Linked DNA regions of Lepisosteus oculatus. The protein of the gene in region 1 binds, or shares a complex with, the protein of each later gene. Links are inferred from orthologs where the notes say so. Each region holds a gene or a part of one and is shown on either strand. Other genes may lie near its edges.

What was found. The genes of interacting proteins can lie anywhere in the genome.
Region 2: the proteins of myo5aa (region 1) and melanophilin are in contact, whole or in part, in a crystal structure (PDB 4KP3), measured with the Mus musculus proteins. The link is inferred for Lepisosteus oculatus from reciprocal best matches to the Homo sapiens genes MYO5A and MLPH. Residues at the interface, in NP_034994.2 of Mus musculus: Asp1524, Val1527, Arg1528, Leu1531, Thr1532, Ile1535, Asn1536, Lys1539, Ser1570, Gly1571, Leu1588, Thr1589, Asn1590, Phe1591, Asp1592, Leu1593, Ala1594, Glu1595, Tyr1596, Val1599; in NP_443748.2 of Mus musculus: Lys184, Lys186, Arg187, Leu188, Leu189, Ser190, Phe191, Arg192, Asp195, Phe196, Glu197.

What each region holds. Positions count from the first base shown.
Region 1 is NC_090700.1:44,823,307-44,830,381, reverse strand, and holds the start of myo5aa (unconventional myosin-Va), read left to right. Parts: upstream 1-4,068; 5' UTR 4,069-4,324; coding exon 4,325-4,357; intron 4,358-7,075. UniProt on the Homo sapiens protein: Processive actin-based motor that can move in large steps approximating the 36-nm pseudo-repeat of the actin filament. Can hydrolyze ATP in the presence of actin, which is essential for its function as a motor protein. Involved in melanosome transport.
Region 2 is NC_090707.1:10,066,244-10,073,800, forward strand, and holds the start of melanophilin, read left to right. Parts: upstream 1-4,557; 5' UTR 4,558-4,646; intron 4,647-7,557. UniProt on the Homo sapiens protein: Rab effector protein involved in melanosome transport. Serves as link between melanosome-bound RAB27A and the motor protein MYO5A.

The sequences.
Region 1 (7,075 bases):
GACGTCAATTTGATGGATTTTAGCGTTTACTGAAGAAAGAGGTGCAATAGATAACTTAAAGAGATCGCTATATTGTTGGTCAAGAGGCATCAAGAAACTCATTGAACGATATTTTGATTTTTAATTTGACTAAAATAATGTAATTGTTTTGCAGTTATCAACTGGGTACGGATCAGTTAAACTCTCCCCAATTCTCCCCAATAACAGAAGATACACTCCTTTCGGTTATTGTTTTATTAAATTAATCTGTCAAGCATCTAACAATGAAAACATAACTTTAAAACGTTTAGTTAAATTAATTGCATAGTCTCAAGTTGCTGTACTCACATCCTTATCGTGTCTTGGACAGAATTAAAGTTTCTTTTTAATTAAGATTGACTAAGGCTATTACTCTTAAGAAGTCTAGACAGTACAATGGTTGTCAACGGAAAGGACATTATTATTCATATGGAATATTAAACTATAGTTCTGCTAACTAAACTTTTTATCAAGAAAATTAGCTTCATATTGGAAGACACAGATTTAATAGTAGTTCCCTGCTGCGGATATATCCCTATTACAACGTTAAAAAACCATGGTCTAGTTCTCACGTTCTCATTTACATTTCTACCCTAGTTTTTCGTGACATACTCAGATGCCTTTCAAATTTATACCACTCAGTATGTGCATTGTTTGGAAAATGAATGTTGATTACAGCTTCTTTCGAAACCTGATTTACGCCACCGACGGACGCTCTATTTATTTCAACATTTGACAGAACTGTGTTAAAAATGAAGCACCGCCGCTGGGAGGCAGCCGTCGCTCGGATTACATCAGATTCATGGTTAGCAACGGGTTTTCGCTGAATGATTTCATTCATCATACCCAGAATGCACAGAGAGACACTAAAATAGCAAGATTTTCAGGTATCATGGCGTTTGCTACCTCTGCTTGAGCCGTCTCCCCGTTTGCTGGAAAGGATTTACAAAGAACAAGAGAGCAACGCCAGTGAAGCGAGTCCGACAAATTAAGCGCACCACTGATGTTCTGCTGACCAGGATTAGACCAACGCTGGATAGACCGTCATGGCAGCGTCCGAGCTGTACACAAAGGTAATGCTGGATTTTGTATTCCGCTTGACGGTGCGGCGTTCAGATTGCAGCTGCAGCTTTTGCATGTTACTGTTTCCCAGCAGCCGTCCCGTGTTTTGGGATGCGCGTCTGAGTTAAGATTGTATTTCCCGTTCTGTGATGTTGTCCCCCCCCCCACAGAAAAAGAGCAAACCAGCTGCCGGTGGAGCAGACGATTGAACAATGGCCAGGCAGGCAGGAATGAATGAATGACATCTTTTGATTTTTGGTTCTCCGCAGTTTAATGTACCACTGAATTGCGTGTGTGCGATGTGGCGCTGAAACGAGACTTTTGGTGCTACAGTGCTGCTGCTGCAGGACACCGTTTTTTATTCCTTTAAAAAAAAAATCAGTGTCTTACGAATGCTTGTCTGATTCACCCGAGGGCAGTTAAATTAACCGGTACTTGCACAGCTCTGTCCTTCAAATGTGCTCAGAGACGTTAAATTCTACCATATTCTCGGAATTATTTTTTCAAGTCAAGGGGAGAATGGATGTAATTATTGTTTTTTTTTCAGAGTATAGCTATTTTCCTATAAATTAGATTGAGCACATTTAATGCTTATGCGTAACTGTGGAGTGTCAGGGGGCGATGGTTGCAGAAAATACTGCTGATGGAAAATCAAGTGCTACTAACGAACCTCCTTTAGAATTTAACATTCTTTAAGGATATGGACGAGTAACAGTCCGGAATAAGGCTGTTTTTTCGAGGGCTGCATCTTCAGCCCGGTGTTTACTGTGTGTGCGAGTCGGACTGTGAAGTTGAACGAAGAACGCAGGATAGGTACGGCTGTGATGCTGAGCCAGGCCATTTCCATCAGTGACGATGCACTGTGGCGCAAGGTGCCCCAGCCACCTTGCCTTAACGCTGTGCAAACCGCTGCCTCTTTTTGTGCTGTGAAATCAGCACAAGGCAACCCGGTAATGGATGAGCTGTTGATTGGATTCACTGTACACCGTTGACAGATTCATCTCCATAGAATGCAGTTGATTGAAACTGGATTTATTAGACCGTAATTATTACTGTACATTCTCTGTGTAGAGGCGCGCTATTATGTTGTTACACGATATAAATACATGCTAATGTACAGTTCCGTTATTATTTTTGCTTGAAAAACACAGTCAGATCATAACCCATTAACTAATTAAGCACCTTGGAGAGCAGCTTTGTTAGTCCTGGTTCAGGCTGCTGGCCCAGAGGAGTAGTGGCAACATCACAGTCCATGGACTGGAGTCTAATGAACTGCATGCCCTCAGTCCTGCATTGCTGATCAAATTGGCCTTATCACTACTCTATGCAATATATTGAAGTGTAAGGTCAACAGAATTTATTTTCTTATCTAAAAAATAGATTACTTTTAATAGTGTGACTGGAACTATAGGAATCGCATGCTATGAATATGAGCATGGTTTATAGACTAGGTTTTATGAAAAAGTATTTTTTCTTCATCTGTGCATATTTTTATTAGGCCATATTCACAGCACATCCTGTAATCTAAGCAGTGGCAGGAAGGAGAAAAGCATAACTTTAAGTTTAGTAATTGCAGTATTCCAGGGCAGAATAAATAGTCCATTTGTCTTAAGCCAGCGTGTGAGAACTTCATTAGCTTTGTAAACATCTCTAAGGGTTTCACAGCTGACAGACACAGGAATGTTCAGGCATACTTTAGTCATCAGTGTTTGCCTGTGCTTGTACCAAGCTTGCATTCAGCTGTCCACATCTGCCTTTGTGTAACCTGTGTGTTACAAAAAAAGTTAATTGGTTTTTGCAAAGAAAATGCTCAGAATGTTCTTGTTCTTAGAACAAGTTATAGCAAGATTGAGGCAGATTCATGAAATCGAATTATTTTGTCCATCTCTTGAAGCAGAAACAGAAACGAAATGCGCCAAACAAAACACATTCTTGGCTGTTCACGCAAAATAAAAGCATGGTTGCATTAGGCATGGTGGTAGCGAAGATGGGACTGATACCGAGGTCCTTGCGATTTGTTTAATCTTGCTGTCTGCAGTCCCTTCCCTGAGGAAATGATGTAATAGCAATGCAGTGCTCTGTTTGGTCTAGAAGTGTAATGAGCCTCTTACCAAACCTTGAGTTCCTAACCACAAAGAGGCAGTGAGCACAGATGATGTAAGGCTCAGGCAGAGCCAGCAGCTCATGGACTTGGCCTACGCCTTCACTGGCACAGCAGCTCCTGATAGGGATGCATGGCTACAGATTTCTACAGTTTCTGCACCTTCGAAACTAGGGCGTACCAGTGCATGCAGATTGCACAAGATGGGCTCATTTCTCACTTCTTCTCACCTTCTCCCTCAAATAAGGAATGCACCTGGTTTAACGTAATGTATTTAAAAAATGAAAAATGCCAACAAAAAAGGTTAATGCAGAAATAAACACAAATGTATGACAAGGAAGTTGTGGTCTAGTCATTGAAACAGATGATTTTAGCCATACATACACATGCTTTAAATAGAGTAATTCTGCAGTATGCAATATTGTTCTCTCTTTATTCAGCATGTCTTTAACAGAGTGCTTTGCTGCTGTGTGACTTTGCTGGTTCTCCACTGAAATATTGCAACGTCAGTTCAGTACTATGCCTTTGAATGTATTTATGCACGGAATGTTCAGCAGAACTTTATTTGATTGTATGCCCAAGTCCTGTGTCCCCTAACATATTATTTTTCCGTAATTGGTCCAGCTTTCAAATTAATAGAAATGTGTGGGTTTCCAAGCTTAGGAAGAAAAGCAGTTTCTGTGCTCTGCATTAACTCCTTGCCTTGGAGGCAATTGGTGATCCACTATCTTGTAGACCATGAATTGTCATAAGACCAGCTGTGTTCATAATTGTCTTACTACGTAGCCCATTCGAAAACACTCTCCCCTTTGTGCTCTAAATGGGAAAATAAAATGCCATTGAAAGATAACTGAGTACACATCATAGCAATCAGAAATTCGCCACTCGTACTGGGCTGTGTCTGTGCTCTGGAGGGCTGTGGAAGTGTCCTTCAGCTCCTAGTCTCACTGGTGATAAGTCCAGCAGTGTGGAATATCAAGATTCTTGTAGCTACAGTAGAAGCCCGTAAACACTTGTAGCTGCAATGGAAAGCCTTCATCAAGTGTGACTTCAACCAATCCATTTTCTCTGTGCTGGCTGCATTTCATGTCTCAACAAAGTTATTAAGCTCGTCAGTAAATAGTGCTTTCAAAGAGCTTGAAGATGAACCAGGAGTTGGATTTTATGTACGTAAAAGTAAGTACCTCCATATCTTGCTTTGTTTGTTGTTCATACATGTGAAGGTAAGCAAAGGAGCTTTTGGTGTGCTTCAGATAGGCAACTGGACATGCCTTTATCATTTCCTGAATTATCTGATTGGGTCTCCAGAGAAATAATTTTGACTTATGATATTTTGGGTACAGAACCTTGGACGTATCACAAATGATCAGATGAGTTATTTTAGGAGGAATTGCTAGTGTTTGCTACTGTCAAACCAGCTGTGGGTTTGACTGTTTTCCCATTTTTAATCATTTGAATTTTCTCTGAGAGTGTACTTTGTATTTTTGATAGCGAGAAGGCAGTATCCTTAACATTGCAGTGTTGTCTTAGGATTAAACAAAATCTCACACTACAGAAGAGTGTTACACCCTACAACTCTGAAGACACCAGGACACATAGCATGCAATGAGTAAAGTGATACCTGAAGTGAGAATTATTACAGAAAGCAAAATAGTTCAAGAACCCTGAAACATGTTGTCTGAAAAGGACTGAAAACGCTAGATGTGCTTTACTGTGTCAGTCCTCTGTTATAATTGCTGTGTGTTAGCAATTGTCACTCCTTAGAATACATCCAGAAAATAAGACCCATTTCTCATGCATGATTATTCTTTTGATAACATTAATAATGGGTGGTACGTGATGCAGCATTGACGCTTTGCAGGGCTGAGCTCTGGGTTCAGATCCTGGGGTGTTCTCTGCACGGAGTTTGTATATTCTTCTTTTGGTCGTGTGGGTTTCCTTCAGGTGCTCTGGCTTCCTTCCACAGTCCAAAGACATACTGTTAGGTCAATTAACATCAGGGAAAGCTGGCCCTGGTGTGTGTTTGTGTTTGTATCTGTGCCCTGAAATGGACGTGTGTCCTGTTCAGGGTGCTGCGTTGTTCCTGTTGCTTGCTATAGGATAGGCTGCATTTTTGGCTTACTGTGATCCTGTAATGGATAATTGGTTAAGAAAATGGTTGGATTTGTAATCATTTTAATTTCCTAACCATGTGTCTGTAATGCATGGGGCAGTCACAGTTACCTGCAGTAGATAAGCAAAGTTGCTGATACTTCTCCTTTTGCTTCTGGGAGCAGGGCTTCACAGATTGAGACAAATACCATGATAACTGGATGGCCAGCCTTCTTTTCTTCCAGCCCCTCATGACGCAGGTGACAGTGGGACCCCTTCTGTTCTTCATTCCATAGCGTTTCCGAGGAGCATCCTCAAACAAGACAGTGTTAACTGTAGAGAGCTACTTAGAACTCACAGTAGATATCTGTGGTAACAGATTCATTTAATAGCAAAAAGGACTGTGGAAAAGAAATCTCAATAGTAAAAGCACAGGAATATATTTACTCCTATTGCCTCTTGTGATGATTTCAGTCCTTCCAGATTAGAGAGGTATGACAAAAGTAGAAGTACTTTGATGCTGTACTATGGAAAGCCTGTCAGTAATGACTTAAAGGGGAGTACAGATTTTATAAATGGGTGATTGTGGGTTTTTTTTGTACTACGGCTGGTGAGAAGTCCTTATAACACAAAACAGAGGAACCATATAGCACAAAACAGGAGGGACCATCCAGAAGACTGGATGTCTTGGGCAATCCAGAAAAGCAGCAGATTCTCACATGAACTTCTGTCATGTGATGAGCTGTTTTGAGTTCATGTTAGATTAGCAGTGGCTCCTTCAGATTTTTGTGTAGTCATGCATAGCCTGAGACTCAGTTACTGCATTGTGATGATTATATCTGCAACTCAGCATTTTAACAGCTATAAGTGGCAGACAGCAAATAGCAGAACTAGACCTATGTGATGATCAGAAAAGGCAGGGGTGCAACGCTGAAAAACTAGTGAGAATATAAATATTATATTAAATATTCTACATATAAGCCTTTTCAATTAATCTGTAGCTCATGTGCTTTCATATATACAGTAGGGGTTTGCATATTTAAGACCACCTTGAAGCAGTTTGTTAAACTTTAACTGCAGTTATGATTCACAGTTAAAAGTATTTTACTTGTGGGAGAGGAAGGTGTATCCAGTTTGCAACACCCTAAGGGTACACTAATTAAATATTTCTGTTACCCATTTTTCAACAGCAGTTGTGAAGCTCTTTGCTGTATATTTCTCAAGACTCCCAAATATGCTGTGATATATTTATGCCATAATGAAAAGAGGTCAAGTTTAAGAACTGTGGTCTCTGTATTTGCAAATAAATATTTTCCAGTGTTCCAAACAAAAGAAGAAATCAAGGTTTGACATTTGAAGTTACGCTTGTTGACGTAGAAGGTTAACTCTCAATCTCCATTTGGCTGAGTACACTTGGAAACACTAGGGACCCAAATGAATTCAGCAACTGCATAACCCTTTATTTTATGCAAAGGAACACAAATGGTTTATTTCATTGCTGAAAAGAAAATAGACTCGGTGTTTGGACTGTGGAGCCTTCTTCAGCCTCCTGAAGAAGGCTCCAGAGTCCAAACGTTGAGTCTCTTTTCTTCTCAGCATGGAATAAAACGTTTAGCTGTTCCTTTGCAGCCTATGCATGCTGACACAGCTACCAACTTGAACTTCTTTCATTTTATGGTTGACTGAAATGTTCACACAGTATTCTAGGGATAGTAGTTTCTAGGCTGATATTTAAAATTACTGGGACATTATGCAAATATCTTCCTGTTAAAATCCTCTTGTAATTTCTTTATTTCACTGATG
Region 2 (7,557 bases), on another chromosome or scaffold:
AATTGTTGTAATCATTGCTTCTAGACTAAATATATGTGTGCAATAATAGCCAAAATTTCTTTGTGAGAAGGACTTCAATTGAATAAGATTACATTTTACAATTAAATGTAGTCCTTTGCTTTCTTGCCAGTGCTTCTCCATAATTTTCCATAATTTTCATTATATCTAAACGGTTATTTTTATGATGCTCACAATTTACACTGAATTTATTAAATTGTAAACCAGGGTTCTCAGTCTGTGGTTTAAAGCTCCTTTTTTGCTGGTTTCAGTAACTACTGGTTTTTGGTCACTAATTATTATTCCTTTATGTGGCTACACTGCTGCACATTTTGTTAATATTTTGTTATATACAAGAGCTGCCTTCTAAGGTTCTTTTTATGCTTTAAAATATTGACAGATTTTATACTTTATGAAAACAGCATAAATGATCATGCTTAATTCAAAAGCTGTCTTCTATGATGCAGAGCACAAGACAAACAGTATGCAAAGTATTTTCTGTCTGCTTATTGACAGCTTTGTATTATGAACCTTGGGCTTTACTGTGACATGTTAACTCTGAATTCATAACCAGTGACTTAATATAGATCAGAAGAGTGGAATAGCTATAATGGTTCAGATTTTGATGTGAGTGTGAAATTAAAAAAAAAATTGGGGGAGTGGAAACAAAATGTGCCTTAAACATGGTCTATATAATCACACTTAATTGGATAACTGCTTCCAGAGGGATTAATCTTCTGACTGAAAATGCAAATGAGAGAGGACATGAACCATCATAGACTGTTCCGACAAAACATCTCTGCATTTGTGGCACAAAAACACCCGAGATATGACATTGACATGACCACTTTGACTGAACCTGATGAGTTTGAGAAGAGCAAGTCAAGGAAGGCAGAGGTGGATATACCTTCTTCTGAAAGGGGAAATTGGATATAGAACATCAAATTCATGGAAGCTGATTTGCCAATAGGAATGAATCCATCAACCATCTTAATGGGAGCCCCAGAAAAGGCTACTTGAGAAAGATTTCAATGTCTATGTACAGTAGGCACATTGTTTTCATTTTCACACACTGTAAGGAAGCAATGCAAAAGGCAAACAGAATGTTGGGATTTATACTTAAAAGTGTAGACCTTAAATTGAGGAATGTTAAGTTAAAACAATACAGTGCACTAGTTAGACTTTATTTAGAATATTGTGTGCAATTTTGTCCACTATAACACAAAATAGATATTGATATTATGGAATCGGTCCAGAGAATAGGAACCAGATGCTGACAGGCTGACAGAATTGAATCTTCTTAGTCTTCAACAGACAAAAACATTCTCAAAGACACTGTCAAAGTTAACCTAATGGACTGCTTCAGAATCACCAGTGAAACAGGAACCAGAGGACTTACATGGAAACTACAGGAAAATGTGTGTAAAAGTGAGTTCACATGGTAGAGTACCTTTTCTTTACACAAACGTTTCTGGGAGCCTGAAACAGGCTATCCAGGCATGTTGTTGAAGCTGATACTTGTGCTTCTTTCAGGAAATGGCTGGATAAAATCTTCAGGTGAATAAGTTACTAAAAACGTAACAGGTTAGATGGGCTGAATGGCCTCCTCTCGCTTGATAACACTCATATTCTTATGTCCTGCTAACCGTGACAGATCACATCCATCACATGGCTTGAAAAATAAAGCAGAAAGGCAATCAAACAAAAAGCTCTTTATACATTACAGACTGAGCTGCCAAAGGCATGGTAATCCTGACAGAAGTTTTTTTTGTGTGCTAATGTTTTGCATGTAGACAAAGTTAAATTCAAACTAACTAGAAAATAATAAAATGTAATTTACCCTGTTGAAGCAGATGGGAAATGTTATTATTTACAGGGTATTCCTTACCATGACTTAAAGATGTACGTGCTTTTCCTTAAACCGCTTGCTAATACATGTTTAGGGCTTTTTTCTGAAAATAAATGTTTTCAATAATCTATAGTGATACTGCTCTTCTAAGGTTTTGCCTACTGTACAGAAGAAAAAAAATACTGATTGATCTCTACCATCGGTTCTGGAGAGTTTCAATTCTTTTAATTTGAGAAATGTTTAAAAAATATAATTTCCCAGTACTGCAATGGACAGCAGTCAAGGGTGTGTCCTTGTTGCTTGCTCCACTAGATTCCAGCTCCCCCGCGGCCCTGTGTTGGTTGAAGCAGTTATAAAATGGATGGATGGATTATTTTCCAGTTATTAAGACAATTGGTTCAGTTAAGTAGCTGAGAGCTTGGTTTGAAAGAAAAACAAACAACACTAAGGTTCTCCAAGACTTGGATGTGAGATCTCCCTTAAAAGGCTTTATCATAGTATATACAGTATATGCATAGTAGTTTTACTGCTTTTCCATGGTTTACCTGCTAATACTAAGCATTTACTATGCTTTACTATGACTCCCAGCATTTATCATGCCTTACCATACTCTGTCAAGCTTTTACCATAATTTCTACTCCCTCTCTTTTTGTCACCATATATATTTTGTGCTGATAAGGGACCAGGTAAAATAAGTGTAGAGAAACCCTTTTCTATTAAATTTCCAATGTTTTCTGATTTATTAACATTAAATGCATTATTGCTCTCGAAGCAAGACAGGTGTGTGCACAGAAAGAGCTAGAAAGGAAAACTATTCAAGCAAACTGTAGGGGCATCCAAAAGCATAACCATGATCTTTGCTTTAAAAATCACCCTCCTTTCACCAAATGACTTCAGATTTGTACTAAACGCCGACTGCTGATTTAAAACAGTGCTAATCTTGGAGTCTGAGTAGCAAGAAAATCAGACCTCTTATTTACCTTATTTAGAATTCAGGATCCAAACAGGGAAAACTAAAGCCAGATAATGTATCCTTCATATGCACAACACACAGAGCAGAGTTGGTACCACTGACTAACAGATTAGTTCTACTTTTCCTATCCTGTACAGTACATACTGTGTACTAGTACTACATGCTTAATAAATACTAGTGCAGAGATCGAAAAAATGTCATTTTCATTTGGAAGATTAGCTTTTTCACAGCAGAAAAAAAATGGAATCACTTCTTGCAGAGAGCACATGACAGGCACATTGACTCAGATTTTCCTCATAACACGAACAGTCGAAGTAAAGTGTTTCATTCACGTCTTTAAAGAATATTCTGTGTCTGAATTTTCACAGCATTGAAAGTTAAGTTAAGTTTATAAACTAATTATAAAATAGAGGACGGTAGATAAGATGTTGTTGACACATGGAAAAGAAGCTGTTTGTTCGAAGTTCTTCTGGCTCAAACTGCCCAAGCACAAATAGCTTGTTTTGCTGGAATCCGATGAACAATTAATTGGGCTCTTTACATAATGCTGAAAGGCATTTTAAAATCCTCATGTCTGTCGTCAGAACAAAACAAAGTTGAGAAGTAGTTAGTTTCTAGGTCAGTGTTTTCCACATGTATGGCCTATGGACATCGTCCAGAAGATCTCTTAAAGATGAAAGTGCCCAAATTCAGCAATGAATCCTCCCTGCTTTACACCAGGGCTAAAACAATTGCATTCCTCATGGCTTCCTCTTAAAGTCTGTTATGACTTCAGTGTGCTAATTCTGTCTGTTCAACAGTTTGGACAAACCATGATTAAGATGGTGCAGACCAGGCATGATTTGAATTAGTTTGCTTTGCTGGTTTTACGCGCCTGCCTGAATTGACAACCTGGCTGTGAGGATGAGGATGTCAGAGCCCTAACTTTTTATGAGGGATGATCCCAGGAGCTCCTGCAAGATTTAATGATGATATTTACAGTATGTATACTGTAAATGGAAGTAGTCAAGACAAAGTTTGGACCTCCTCCTGAGCTTTTATTGAAAACGCCCATTAATCAGAGCAAAATATATAATTAACCATAAAGAAAAAACACAATATAGTCTTTCCACATACATTATTTATTTAGAAATATTTTATTGTGAATTACCTTTTATAAACATCTACCTGAGTGGTTAACACTAGCACTACAGTGAAACACTTAGAGGTTAACTCTAAGTGTTAGTATAGCTTAGATTTATGACCTACACTAATGTGAGAACACATGTTCATACAAATATATTGTGTCCTTAAATAAGATTAACACGTACTGTACTAGTGCTGGTACAAGTAACTATTAAATCTCCCACATACTGTAGCTCTGGGACTCCAGAAAAATATTTTTATTCTTCAAAACTCCTTATGGATCGTAACAAATACAGTAGTCTTCAGAACACTTTTGGGATTCCCAAAGGGAAAAAGCTGAAGAAAACTTTTCTTAGAAATAATAAAGAATTCAGAAAAGGAGTCTTGCTGGCATCGTGTAAAGGTTTTAGGTCACCAAATATGTGGGCGTCCTGTACTATTTTGATATACCTGTACAACAAATTATTTGCATCCGTGAGCTAAAAAGTCTTTAGTTTTCTATAAATATGTTCCGTAAACAGCCATGTTAACTAACCTTGTGATATGAAATGACCCGTTGTGAAAGTGCAAAGGGGGCGGAGATTGGATACCCCCCTTAGTTAACTTAGCATGTGATTAATTTACTTAAACCCTTTTACAGTTTTGCTGTCAAACTCTCCAGGGATTAAAGCTCGTAACAGCACAGTCAGGGTACAGGTGAAGGTAAATATTAACATTTTAAAAACTGGTTAATTTTCGGCTCTTCTCTTTACATTTGCGTCGATAATGCAGAAAATGTATTTTAAAAATCAATAACTGTTTTATTTTCCCTCAGCTGATATCTTGACGTTTGAATTTAAACAGAATAAAACTGAGGTTGAGGTTTTCTTTACAATGCAGTATATCTTATAACAGTACACAACAAATGCATACAAATGAATGATAAAAGTCAACAACTGGAATAAAAAGTAAATTGTTGTTGTTGCCAGAAATACCAGTAAATAAAACAAGTAAGGCGCATTTTATATTGCAATTCTGAACGTAATGGCAAGATATTAGTTAGCTACTGGCATACCACTACACAGTTCTTTTTCACGTAGATGGTGATACATCCTAAACCACCCTTTTTGTGCAAATAGGACTTTTGCATAACAGGTCTGATGTAAAGATGGTGTGTCACCCGGATTCAGAAAGGGCGTGCTTCTTTTAATATGATGCTGTTGCCTTTGCATAAAGTTTTTTTTTAACTGTAGCGTTAATTATTGTTTCCTTGCTGAAATAACAATATATCAACAATTGTACACTGCGTGGTTTGTATGAGGATGTTAGATCATATTTTAGTGTTATAGTGTTAGTATACTGTATATATAATGATAACACTTAAACGTGTGAATATTTTTTGGCCAAAAACATTTTGTCATTATAAAACAAATGAGCATTATGAAGCATTGTACAAAAGCCAATTTCCCTGCTGAATTGGATTCTTAAAGTTATCTTTAAAAGATAAATAGCAAAAGAGTTTTAGACAAAATGTAAATATTTAACATCTTAACATCTTTTTATACATAGTTAATAGCATTCCATATCCACTTATTCAACCTTAATGCACAGGTTCTTCTGTCTTTAATGACGAGAAAAAGAGAATATGTCGTACAGTATATATTCTCTTTTTCTCGACAAACTGTTGTTAATTCTTCTGACGTCCTTGCTGGATATGTGCTGCTTAGTGTACCTAGTCTTATTCCGTCTAATATTTAAAAAAAATATATTTAAAATACTATTTTGAATATCTGCGAATTATTCCCTTTACCTTCGCACGAGATTTTAACTTTGTATCGTATCCTGATGCTACCCATTTCGTTTGTCCGTTTTTACTATAATTTCACTTAAATGTTGTGCATTTTAAGTAAATTGAATTTAACTTGACTACGATTTGTTAGCCTTAGAGTTAGACTTAGGCAACTGTCATTGATTTGCAAGGGCGCACTTTAAAAAGAATATGGTCTATAAAGGAATTTACCGATACTAGTACAGTAGGCGTCGATGTAAGTAGCCAACTCGTTTTAATCTCAAGAGATCCAAGGTGCTTAAATATCTCACACCCTCAAGATTGTACACACACAAAGTGCCAATCCTTGTTTTACCTTTACTCGTAATCAAAATATTAGTCAACAGGGCGTGCCGTTTTCTTTTTCAAATAGCATTATAGGAATATTGATCACGGGTTTTGTATTACAGGGAGAAAGTTTCGGTAAACGTGAAGTTAGCGCTTTGCATTGACTACACGACGTAATAGTGAACCTACTGTAGTTGGTCACTAATACGACTGTATTATGTCATGCAGTTTTGTCACAATTTCAAAGTAAATTTATTAACAAATCCCCTTGTTTATGATGTTTTTTTGACGAGTATAATTATCCTTTGGATTTGGCATTTTATCAAAATTTTGATGTTAAAATAGTATACTGTTCATACAAAATATTTTCATTTTTTTTGTTATTTTTATTTTGTATCATTTGTAACGGGAAAACGTAATGGCCTTTCAACATAAGGCCCCATTCAGAAAACAAATACTAGTTTATATAAATACACAAAGAAAGATGGATAATTTATAAGCAGTAGGGATAATATTTTCGCTCTATAGTTGGTTTCTTTACAAGATGGAAGTTTGACTGCTTATTGTGGGTGGAGTAAACATGTCCCTCCAGTAAATCCTGACCTGCAGGTCATGAATTCGTTTAGTCCACAGTGCATAACAAACACCATCTAGGCAGGTTATTAAAACGTTCTATAACTTCTGTGTAAAAGACTACTAAATGAGAAATCAAATAATAAGATTTAAAGTAATAATGCAAAAACAGTTTTTCAGGAGCATTAATTTACTCAGAATTTAACACTGCTAACATAGCTTTTAAGTTTTTTACCAGTATTAAATGAATAGCCACAAAATTATATTAGTTATACAATTATGAAATGTACATATATGACTAATAACTGTGCCATTAATCATTACTAGGGATAACTCGATTATTGACACTGTATTAATGTATTACGTTATGACGGATTTACACAAGAGTTTTCACTCCCTTTAATAAAGTGTTATCTATTTTTTGGTAACTGAAAGGTAACACCTGCACATCAAACATTAGTGATATCCATTCAAGAGTGACCATAGAGGAGTTAATTTACTGAAGTTTACTACTTTATTTGCTTATTATCGCTATGTGATCTTACAGTGGTCAAAAGGTTTGTGGAAACATGTTAAATAAAGTGTTGTATATATATATAATATTTTCATTTGTGCAACAAATGGACTGTTTTAACAAATGTGGCAGAAAGTCGGTTCCTAATCTCGCCCACTTCTACTCTCCTACATACACAGTATATACTGCAGCTTGCCTCCTGAATGTCCCTTTGTGCTTCTCTTTTGCACCCTTCTCGACACCTCTTCTTCACCCTTCCAGCAGCTCCCTTGCTCATTCCTCATGAAAGTGAAGGGGGAGGGGCCTGTGTCAGCCTCATTCTTATGGTTAGTCTGCCCTTCCCCCAGCTAGGTGAGTTACACTGCTGACCAAACTACTGGAACACTGAATAGCCATTTGCATTATTTTCTAAAACCAACTTGAAGTTACAT